Linked DNA regions of Xenopus tropicalis. The protein of the gene in region 1 interacts with the protein of each later gene in a pairwise test. Links are inferred from orthologs where the notes say so. Each region holds a gene or a part of one and is shown in the gene's direction. Other genes may lie near its edges.

Evidence for each region.
Region 2: the proteins of rela (region 1) and keap1 interact in binary tests that used the Homo sapiens proteins (3 or more experiments, as listed by UniProt). The link is inferred for Xenopus tropicalis from reciprocal best matches to the Homo sapiens genes RELA and KEAP1.
Region 3: the proteins of rela (region 1) and nfkbie interact in binary tests that used the Homo sapiens proteins (3 or more experiments, as listed by UniProt). The link is inferred for Xenopus tropicalis from reciprocal best matches to the Homo sapiens genes RELA and NFKBIE.

The regions. Positions count from the first base shown.
Region 1 is NC_030680.2:38,474,982-38,478,636, forward strand, and holds part of rela (transcription factor p65), read left to right. Parts: intron 1-1,640; coding exon 1,641-1,789; intron 1,790-3,655. UniProt on the Homo sapiens protein: NF-kappa-B is a pleiotropic transcription factor present in almost all cell types and is the endpoint of a series of signal transduction events that are initiated by a vast array of stimuli related to many biological processes such as inflammation, immunity, differentiation, cell growth, tumorigenesis and apoptosis.
Region 2 is NC_030679.2:138,054,666-138,058,906, reverse strand, and holds the start of keap1 (kelch-like ECH-associated protein 1), read left to right. Parts: upstream 1-1,357; 5' UTR 1,358-1,379; intron 1,380-4,241. UniProt on the Homo sapiens protein: Substrate-specific adapter of a BCR (BTB-CUL3-RBX1) E3 ubiquitin ligase complex that regulates the response to oxidative stress by targeting NFE2L2/NRF2 for ubiquitination.
Region 3 is NC_030681.2:2,161,608-2,165,262, forward strand, and holds part of nfkbie (NF-kappa-B inhibitor epsilon), read left to right. Parts: intron 1-738; coding exon 739-841; intron 842-3,655. UniProt on the Homo sapiens protein: Sequesters NF-kappa-B transcription factor complexes in the cytoplasm, thereby inhibiting their activity. Sequestered complexes include NFKB1-RELA (p50-p65) and NFKB1-REL (p50-c-Rel) complexes.

The DNA.
Region 1 (3,655 bases):
CTCCCTGATCTGACAGAAAATCAAGCCTGCCTGATCGAGATCTGCCCAATTTGAGGCCAGATATCCATCGGGTAGGCATCGGGGTGCAGATAAGCTGCCGAACCGGTTTGGACCAGAATCGGCAGCTGAAATCGGCCTGTGTATGGCCCCCTTTAGACTTCACTTGCAAACAGTGTGCAAAGCTCATAAATACTCACTTGAAAAGACACATTGCTATTCAGACATTTAAACAATTTGTACAGATGAATACAAATCCTGCAATAAGTGTATTATCTGTGATTTAGATGTTTTAACGTGACTTTACAAAATATTTGTATGCAAACAGCATTCAGCCCCCCCCCCTTTTGAGCACTAACAGTGTTATGTGTTTTGAGTTCCAATGCATACCGGCTTTACACACAATTTAGGTGTAATTTTTGGTGTCACATTTTTTCTGGCACATGTTCTCTGTTATTCAGGTCAGATGACACTTGTGTTTCAGTTAATTAGTCTGAGAGATACTCAGCTGGCATGACCTGGCATAGCTCGTTTGCATAATGGCTTCTTTTGTGCCACCCTACTTTAAAGGAAAGTGTTTATGCAAAACACTTAATATCGCTGATGCAGACCTACAGTGAAGTGAGGTGGCGATGCATAATGCTGTTGGACTGCTTCTTATTCTGCACATCTAGTTAAAACAGAAGGAAGCAGAAAGTGTAATTATATCCTATGGGAGGCTTCCAAAATCATGCATTGAAGGTTGAAAGTCAAAGTTTTTTGCGGCGTTTATGATCGTTCGGATACGAAAATTTCAGAACTTTCGGATTGCGCCACGATATTTGCGTACAAACACAATAGGAATTTTCTCACAATTAACACACATCCAAAATTATTGTATTTATTCCGAATTTTTGCCAATCATACTTTTAATTAGCCGAAATTCGGACTTTGATAAATCTGCCCCTGAGTGAAAAAAAGACCCCTGTCCCTTTTAAAGGAGTGGTTCACCTATAAGTAAACTTTTAGTATGTTATAGAATGGCCAATTATAGTTTTTGAACAATTTGCAGCTTTTAAATGGGGGTCACTGACCCTGTGAGGCTACAATTTTACTGTTACTTTTTATAACTTTTTTTTCTATTCAGGTCCTTTCCTATTCATGTACCAGTCTCTCCTTCAAACCACTCCCTGGTTGCTATATAATTTGGACCCTAGCAACCAGATAGCTGCTGAAACTCCAAACTGAAGAGCTGCTAAACAAAAAGCGAAATGACTAAAAAGAACACCGTTTTATTGCAGGATTTGTTGTTCATTAAATGAACAAATTGTTTCAGTGTCTGAATAGCCATTGTTGTCAGATAATGTATGTTTTTTCATTTTCTGCTGTAAGACACACTGGCATAGTTGGTAATGGCCTACAAGATAGCGGTCAACTTATGGGCTCTGTTTGACTTAACTGATGGCTGTACTTTCATAGCTCTTTACCCAGCTGTTTATTAAGGGAAGTGAAAAATTTTTTAGCCTTATTGATCATTCTAATCATCACTTTACCATCATCATAGTATTTGATTTGTTCATTCATGGTTTTTGTCATTTGCACATTTATTTTATTTATTTTTTTATTGTCTGATTGATTCCTTCCATTCTTTATGGTCATTTTAGATAAACCATTACCAGGGCTCAGCGCGTATTCGAATATCCCTAGTTACTAAGGATTCTCCACACAAACCTCACCCTCATGAGTTGGTAGGAAAGGACTGTAAGGATGGATATTATGAAGCTGAACTTTCCCCAGATCGTAGTATTCACAGGTAATGATTGGTTTGGTTACACTTCTGTTCAAAGGAATTGTCAGCCCCAAAAATAACTTTTTGCTTAATTAAACAAAACTTAATTCTAAGCAATATACATTCATTACTTCATTCATTCATTATTTTTTTTAGTTATTTGTATATATAATTGCTATTAAAAGCAGTGTCTACCTGTCCTCTCTAGTCTCTGCCCTGGTGGCTCTGGCACTTGAAGCAATGTAACACAAGGCAGCAGACTGACAGACCTTGTCATGATATAGGCCTGTAAGGGTTAATCAAGCAGGCCAAGGTATCCCAAAATCTTCCAGAAATGTGCCAGAAAGAGATATATAACAGGCCTCTGGTCACTAGGGTCTGGAACCAGCCATGTGTAAAGGCCTCGCATCCTGAAATGCCCAACTCTAATCCCTGGCTGATAAGAGCCATGCCATGTGGGGGAGTGAAAGCCCACGTGGGGGTGACTTAGAGTTCACATTGGGACCCATCATAGGTGATGTGGAGGTCACACCATAACCCAAACTCACAAACATTTATTGTCCCAGAACCCATACTATTTATACTAGAGGTACCAAAACCTGAGTATATGTTTCATTTAAGATGGCCTTTCATACGGGTCCAAACATCACTGGATTTGGGCACTTGGTTTGTCAGATAGGAGTATCTGGGCAGGGGCAGGTCACACAGTGGTGATGTTTAGTCTGTATGGGACCGGTGGGATCATTAAGAATTGATGAATCTAATTTCATCATGTTCCCACAAGGAGTTATGGACATTGGTATCATTGGACAAGTCCCATACACTCAGTCCATACACAGGAGGCCATAAAACTCACACTGTGTCCTGCTAATGGTGACACCCCTTGCATTCCTGAGGGAGGGGGGAGTGTCCAGTTACCTGATCCCCCTGCAAACTGGGATAAATAGTCAGCTCTTCTGAAGATATTATGTGGAGGACCAATTTCTATTGGAAGTTTATCCTGTGGTTTCCCCTTGCCTCCAGGACTAGAAGGACTTTGCTTGGTATAGTATAGGACTTCTATATTTTTCCCTTTTTATTTTAAAACTGTTTGTACTTGTTTTATCGTATGTCCTTTGTTGTAACATCTTGTTTTAAACTTGCACTGTTATACTTTTTATAATATTAAATATAAAATTTAATAAGTTTGTCCTTGATGCTCTAAAACGTACCTAACCTCCGAGTGTGTAACTGTGTTGTGTGCCTTAGCCCTCTGTATGCTGTGTGCTGATTAACCCTTTGACTGCTGGTAAGGAGAGTGTGTGTGTCGGTTCTTTACATTAACCCTTTCTCTACCAGTGTGCTTGGCATCTCTCATCGCCAGTGTAAGAAGTATGAAAGTGGTGGCAGCAAGTTGTGTATGAGTTTGTGAGCGTTGGTTGGTCTTTGGGGTGCTGTGATGCTAGTCTGACCTGTGTGTCAGGTGTGTGAGACTGAGCAAGGGACCCTCTAGACAGCCACGCCTACAGTCACGTGCATCTGAAGTGGCGTAATCGTGACAGACCTGCCTTGCTGGAGGAGCCTGGCACATGCAATTTTGTTAAAAAGTAACAACCAGGATTTCGGCAAATGCTGCTTTCAATAGCAATTACGTTTACACAACTTTTAAAGTAGTAATAATTTTTAACGAATTGATATTGGAAAGTTGCTTAGAATTATGTTTCTAATTTATTAGGCAAAAACATTTTTTGGGGGTTGACGTCCTTTAAGATTAAAAAAAAAAAAATGCTCTTTAGTAGTAATGTCTCTTAAAACATCAGCATTCTCTAAAATGTTATTATTATTGTTCCTACGCCAGGTTAGTACCGCTTTTGGTGTGTGTCTAAAACAGGGGTTCACAGACTTTACAAG
Region 2 (4,241 bases), on another chromosome or scaffold:
GTCTGGGCCTGATTTTCAGTACACAGAGGCCCAAACAGCCCCCCATAGGCCCAATAAATAGTGAGTGTCTATGGCACCTTACAGCAGCCCCTCTGGCATTTGCCTGAACCCACAGATTGCCAGTCTGGGCCTGATTTTCAGTACACAATCTGTGGGTTCAGGCAAATGCCAGAGGGGCTGCTGTAAGATGCCATAGACAGTCACTATTTATTGGGCCTATGGGGGGGCTGTTTGGGCCTCTGTGTACTGAAAATCAGGCCCAGACTGGCAATCTGTGGGTTCAGGCAAATGCCAGAGGGGCTGCTGTAAGGTGCCATAGACACTCACTATTTATTGGGCTGTTTGGGCCTCTGGGAACTTAAAATGCCAGGGTCTATTTTGAATCCCAGTCAGGGTCGGACTGGGCCACTGGGAAAAATACTGGTGGGCCGACGTGTAAAACGTATGCATGCTCAGAGGCGGGCATCGGGCTGGGGGACCCTGCCAGGTGAGGGGGGGTGCGGGGGACACGGCCGGGCGGGGGCAGCGGCCTCGGTGGGCCCTGCACCCCCCAGTCCAACCCTGATCCCAGTCCAGACCTGTAGCAGGGTCACATGATCACTTGAAAATTCAGGGACAGGGCTAGAAAATTGTATTTCAGTTTAATTTAAAGGCATCAGTGCTGCCCTGTAACATGTACTAATTAGACCTGTCCCCTGAACTCTCAAGCGATCTGTTTATCCGAGGTGATCTCTGGTTTGTGGCAGCTGTACCTTACAGGGCTGGAAATAAATGGTGCAGGTTCAGGCAGCTAATAATATGGCGACTCCTGACTAAAAAGACACGTCTTTCAGTAGCTTCGAGGGTGGGCGGAAACGCTCCTAAACGCTCCCCTGTGATCTAAAGGCCAACTATATATACCCGCCACTTCAGGCATTTTGTCACAGGAACGGCTTGGAATAATGTCTGCGCCATAGCCATGGGCAACGCACTACACTACTTACCACTAAAACATACATACACGTCTCTCCCCCGCCCTTTAGGTAACACTTTTACGCAATAAGCCAAGCACTTTGTTGTTTAATGCGCAACAGGTGACGCTATAGTTGGCCGGGAGCTGAACCAGAGCCGCAGGTCTCCCCGCTCCGCTGAGCTCTCTCTCCTCACTTTACTTTCACTTCCCTAAACAGTCACCTAAGCAGCGCCCCGCAGCCAATCACAGCCGCCCTTTCTCCTCCCTTCAATAACAATAAAAAAAAAACCCACTTGTAAGCTCCGCCCCTAGTGGTGCGGACGTCATGGCCCCGCCCAGAGGCAGTGTGAGTGACGCGGGCTGCTGCTTAGTCACGGTGACTGCTCCAGAGCATGGCGGGGGCAGCTGGCAATCAGACCGGAGTCCGGTGAGACAAGGGGAAATGGCGGTGCGGGGCCCCGGGAAGTACCGGAGGGATTGGGGAGGCGGGGAGCTGGAACAGGAGAGGGGGCGAGCTGGAGGGATAAAGAGACGGGCGGACGGGAGGGGGCAGGAAGCAAGGGCCGGGGGGGAGTAGGTACTGACTGGGATGATATCATTGGCGAGTAAGGTAGCGCCAACCTGCTGCTCTCAAGCTCTCCCTGAACTACAACTGCCAGCAGCACCTAGGGGTGACTTGTAGCTCAGCAACAAGAGCTGAAGGGCTGGAGCGTAAAGCGCGGTGTGTGTGTCCTACAGGGGGGAATGGGGGACCAGACATGGAGAGAAGCGTAACCAGTGCCTCACACTCACAGCTGTATGTACACTCACTCTCACAGCTGTATGTACACTCACTCTCACAGCTGTATGTACACTCACTCTCACAGCTGTATGTACACTCACACTCACACAGCTGTATGTACACTCACTCACACACACAGCTGTATGTACACTCACTCACACACACAGCTGTATGTACACTCACTCTCACAGCTGTATGTACACTCACACTCACACAGCTGTATGTACACTCACTCACACACACAGCTGTATGTACACTCACTCTCACAGCTGTATGTACACTCACACAGCTGTATGTACACTCACTCTCACAGCTGTATGTACACTCACTCTCACAGCTGTATGTACACTCACTCTCACAGCTGTATGTACACTCACACTCACAGCTGTATGTACACTCACACTCACAGCTGTATGTACACTCACAGCTGTATGTACACTCACACTCACAGCTGTATGTACACTCACACTCACAGCTGTATGTACACTCACACTCACAGCTGTATGTACACTCACTCTCACAGCTGTATGTACACTCACTCTCACAGCTGTATGTACGCTCACTCTCACAGCTGTATGTACACTCACTCTCACAGCTGTATGTACACTCACTCTCACAGCTGTATGTACGCTCACTCTCACAGCTGTATGTACACTCACTCTCACAGCTGTATGTACGCTCACTCACACACACAGCTGTATGTACACTCACTCACACACACAGCTGTATGTACACTCACTCTCACAGCTGTATGTACACTCACTCTCACAGCTGTATGTACACTCACTCACACACACAGCTGTATGTACACTCACACACACAGCTGTATGTACACTCACTCTCACAGCTGTATGTACACTCACTCTCACAGCTGTATGTACGCTCACTCACACACACAGCTGTATGTACACTCACACTCACAGCTGTATGTACACTCACTCTCACAGCTGTATGTACACTCACTCTCACAGCTGTATGTACGCTCACTCTCACAGCTGTATGTACGCTCACTCACACACACAGCTGTATGTACACTCACACTCACAGCTGTATGTACACTCACACTCACAGCTGTATGTACACTCACTCTCACAGCTGTATGTACGCTCACTCACACACACAGCTGTATGTACACTCACTCACACACACAGCTGTATGTACACTCACTCACACACACAGCTGTATGTACACTCACTCACACACACAGCTGTATGTACACTCACTCACACACACAGCTGTATGTACACTCACTCACAGCTCTGTACCATGATATGTACACTCACACTACCCCATGGCATGCATACACAGGGCATGCGGTGTCACCCCCCCCCCACACACACACAATTACACCACTACATCTTTATACAGTGTAGGCAGCAGCAGTGCAAGTCGGCCCCCGCACTACCCCATGGCATCAACACACAGGGCAGGCAGTGCCAATCTCTCCTCTACACTCACTGACACCATGGCATATTTATACAGTGTAGGCAGCAGCAGTTTTACTCTGCCCCCTTACACACACACACACCTGTACCATAGCATGTATACACAGCACAGGTGCCAGTCCTCACACACACACACAGTGCCTTTGTGACCCGCATACACACAAGCAGTACAGTACTAGTTGTGACAGTGTTGGATACAAAGCAGAATACTCCCTTTAGAATGATTGGCTGCTGGGAGCGACACTTTGGGGCATACAGCTGCTCAGCCTTGCTTTCTTCCCAACTGGGTGACTGGGTGCCAAACTGCGCTTTATGGAAGGTGCAGCGCCTCTTGCCTGTGTATTAATCAGAACAACTTTGCTTTTGCCCTTATTTGAAAATGACTTTTAATACGTAGGGGAAACCACTGCCAGCCCTGCACCCAGTACAGTGGCACCCAGTACAGTGGCACCCAGTACAGTGGCACAGGTCTTCCCATTATTCAAGCCTATCATCAGTGCGAGGGTGCTGCCATACTGGGCTGCTTTAGTTGAGAGATGAGACACTTGTCGCACTTGTGTGCTAGAGTTAGAAGAGAGCGGAGGCTATCTCAGTTGTTGTGCTCTGAGGCTGGGTGTGAGTGGAGCCTAATGGCTTCCTGGCAGGCCTGTCCTGATTGGGGCAAAGTGGCACAGAGACCAGATAATAATGAGGTAGTGTATTCTCATTTGTGCCTATAGAAGGTTCTACACTAGGTCCCTGCAGATATTGCCCTGGCTGGACTCGAACCCAGGACCTCAGTGCTACAAAGCAGCTGTTACTTTTTTTTTTTTTTTTATACAAACTGAAATAGTGCCTTGTTACTCTCTGCCACATTAGATGTTCACGTTTCATATATTTGTGTGTTTGGAAAGTAAATCAACTAACCTTTTTTGTCTTGCCTACCTCTTAGTTAAAGGACACGTCAAACCACCCCCCCCAAAAAAAAATACTTTTTACCTTATAAAACAAATATGAGCAACTTTCCAATATGATTTTATTAAAAAGAGTTTAGTGCCTTAAAAGTTATTTGCAAACGTAATTG
Region 3 (3,655 bases), on another chromosome or scaffold:
CTCGCTCACCCACCGGCCACTCCCACTCTCTTCTGGGGGCCCCTGTGCTCACGTCCCCCCGTTCCTCTCTTGCTAATTGTAGTGGCTTTTTCTCTTTAGTGGGTGCAGGGAATCCCTGCAGTGTCACTCACAAACTCCCTGCATACCTCCGTGCCTCGCACACAGCAGGGAGCACCAAGTATATCCTATGTATGAGTTTGGGATTACAGTCATGTGACCAGGAAGTGTCCCACTCCCAGCATGCATCACCTTTATGATGGGTAGGGAGGCGGCATGGGAGTACTGTGTCTGTGGAGGAGAAATGGGCAATTCCTGGCTTTCTGCCTAATGTCTGAAACAGGAAATCACTATGGTTCTTATTTCTTGTACTTCCTGTTAGAAATAAAACGACTTCCTGGTTCTGCCAAGCAGAGGAGAAGCAGTTAAAACAAATGACCAGTCCGCAGATAAGCCCTGTGTATAGTGAGTTGCTCATCCCTAAGCCTAGCAAAGGCTGCAGCTTAGAGAAGGGGGGAGCTTGTTTATACAGAGCTCATTATCCTGCTTACAGGAATAAGGGGGAGGAATGAGATTGGTGACCTGTTTTACATCAGTGCTTTAGAAAGGCAAAATATGTTGACATATTACACCCATTGCTGCCAGGGGGTTTCCGACATGGACTGTTCCATATCCCCCAGTCCCCCACCCTAAACTTCCCTCCCTGCCTGCACTACTCACTGCGCTCCTGTTACCCTGTAGGTTCCTGCATCTCACTGTCATCCATGGCTGGACCGACACCGCCCTCTGCTTCATATCCTTGGCACCGGCCGACGTGCTCAGTATCCAGAATGATCTCTATCAGGTACCGAATGGGCTCAGGGGGGTCACTCACATAGCGCTGCATGTATATTATAGCTGTGTTTATTTCCCTGCTGGTACCGGTACTGTAGAGTAATAATGTGCTGCCCTGAGTATTTATTTCCCTGCTGCTACCGGTACTGTAGAGTAATAATGTGCTGCCCTGAGTATTTATTTCCCTGCTGCTACCGGTACTGTAGAGTAATAATGTGCAGCCCTGAGTATTTATTTCCCTGCTGGTACCGGTACTGTAGAGCAATAATGTGCTGCCCTGAGTATTTATTTCCCTGCTGGTACCGGTACTGCAGAGTAATAATGTGCTGCCCTGTGTATTTATTTCCCTGATGGTACCAATACTGTAGAGTAATAATGTGCTGCCCTGAGTATTTATTTCCCTGCTGGTACCGGTACTGCAGAGTAATAATGTGCTGCCCTGAGTATTTATTTCCCTGCTGGTACCGGTACTGCAGAGTAATAATGTGCTGCCCTGAGTATTTATTTCCCTGCTGGTACCGGTACTGTAGAGTAATAATGTGCAGCCCAGAGTATTTATTTCCCTGCTGGTACTGGAGAGTAATAATGTGCAGCCCAGAGTATTTATTTCCCTGCTGGTACCGGTACTGTAGAGTAATAATGTGCTGCCCTGAGTATTTATTTCCCTGCTGGTACCGGTACTGTAGAGTAATAATGTGCAGCCCAGAGTATTTATTTCCCTGCTGGTACCGGTACTGTAGAGTAATAATGTGCAGCCCAGAGTATTTATTTCCCTGCTGGTACCGGTACTGTAGAGTAATAATGTGCAGCCCAGAGTATTTATTTCCTTGCTGGTACCGGTACTGTAGAGTAATAATGTGCAGCCCAGAGTATTTATTTCCCTGCTGGTACTGGTACTGTAGAGTAATAATGTGCAGCCCAGAGTATTTATTTCCCTGCTGGTACCGGTACTGTAGAGTAATAATGTGCAGCCCAGAGTATTTATTTCCTTGCTGGTACCGGTACTGTAGAGTAATAATGTGCAGCCCAGAGTATTTATTTCCCTGCTGGTACCGGTACTGTAGAGTAATAATGTGCAGCCCAGAGTATTTATTTCCCTGCTGGTACCGGTACTGTAGAGTAATAATGTGCAGCCCAGAGTCACCGACTGCTACCTGCCTTTAACGAAGACCGGAACGCACGACTAACTTTATGGATTTCTCCATCCCGCATATCTTCCGACCTCGCAAAGCTGCCCATCTCTTTTCCCCGTGCTGTGAACAATTCAATACCACATCTATCCCGACCATAGAGAGGCACACCGCTACAAATACGATTTCTATCACTAGACCACTAGGCAAGTATATTTATCCCTGATGGTATCTGGCACTGGAGAGTAATAATGTGCTGACCTAGATTTATTCCTGTGTGGTTACTGTCAGAAGTAATAATTGCTTGGCCCTTGCGATATTTATTTCCCCCTAACGGTACTGTTAAGATGGAATATGGCAAGCCCCGAGTATTTATTTTCCCTATGTACTGTAGAGTAATAATGTGGCAGCCCAGAGTATTTATTCCCTGGGCTTAGGCGTTACTGCACTTGCAGAGTAATAATGTGCAGCCAAGAAGATTTATTTCCCTGTTTGGTACTGGTACTGAAGGATAATAGAATGGTGCCACAAGCCCTGAGTAATTTTATTATCCCTGTGCTGTAACTGTAGAGTAATAATGTGCAGCCCAGAAGTATTTATTTACCCTTGTTTGTACTGGTTACTGGAGAGTATTAATGCCTGCAGCCCTGAGATTGATTTCCCTGATGGTAAAAGGAGCGCGTCCCGCCGGACCCGCAAAGGGGCGCCGTGCGCTAGACGAAAAACGCAGCATCAACGCGCCGAGCAAAAAAATCACACCGGATAGACAGACAGCAAACGCACACATGAAATAAAGGCCCCGAAAAACAAGCCAGTGTGGGTCACAATGTATGAACGACACCGACCACCAGGCACAACAACAAGGAACGAGGGCAACAAACAGCTAACAAGAAAAACCCTTATTAAACTCCATGTGGGCATGCGGAAAGCCAGTGGAGCTAAAACTACAAGAGAGCAGATGACACACCACCAGTGGCAAGCGGTCTCCGCCCCGAGTAACACAGCCACCCAAGCGCTTAAATTACCCAACCGAGCCTAAATAGCTGAACCTGGAAAGTATATATTTCCCGTATGGTACTGTAAGGGAGTATAATGTGCGGGCCCGATATTTATTTCCATTTGTACTGTAGGAGTATTAAATGTGCAGCCCAGGAAGTTATTATTTTTCCTGCTGGGTTTACTAGGCAATGCTAAGAAGTAATTAATGTGCGCAACCTCCAGCGCGAGTATTATTTCCCGCTGGTACCGGCCACTGTAGAGTAATAATGTGCAGCCCAAGAGTAATTATTTCCCTGCTGGTTAACTGGGTACTATAGAGTTAATAAGTCGCTGCCCTGTTGTATTATCCCTGTTGGGTTTACTGGTACTGTAGAGTAATCAATGTGCAGTCCCAGAGTATTTAATTTTCCCTATGACTTGGTAACTGGTACTGATTTTATTACCGCTAATAATGTGGCCAGGCCAGAGTATTTATTTCCTGTTGTACTATAGGTACGTAAGGATAAATCATTGTGCAGCCCAGAGAAGTATATCCTGGCTCGTACTGGTTACTGTAGCGGTAATATGTGCAGCAAGAGTAATTTATTTATTCCTGTGGACTGTACTTTAGAGTATAAATGGCAGCCCTGAGATTTATTTCCTGTAATAGGTACCGTACTGCTAGGATAATATAATGGGCAGCCCTGAGTATTTAG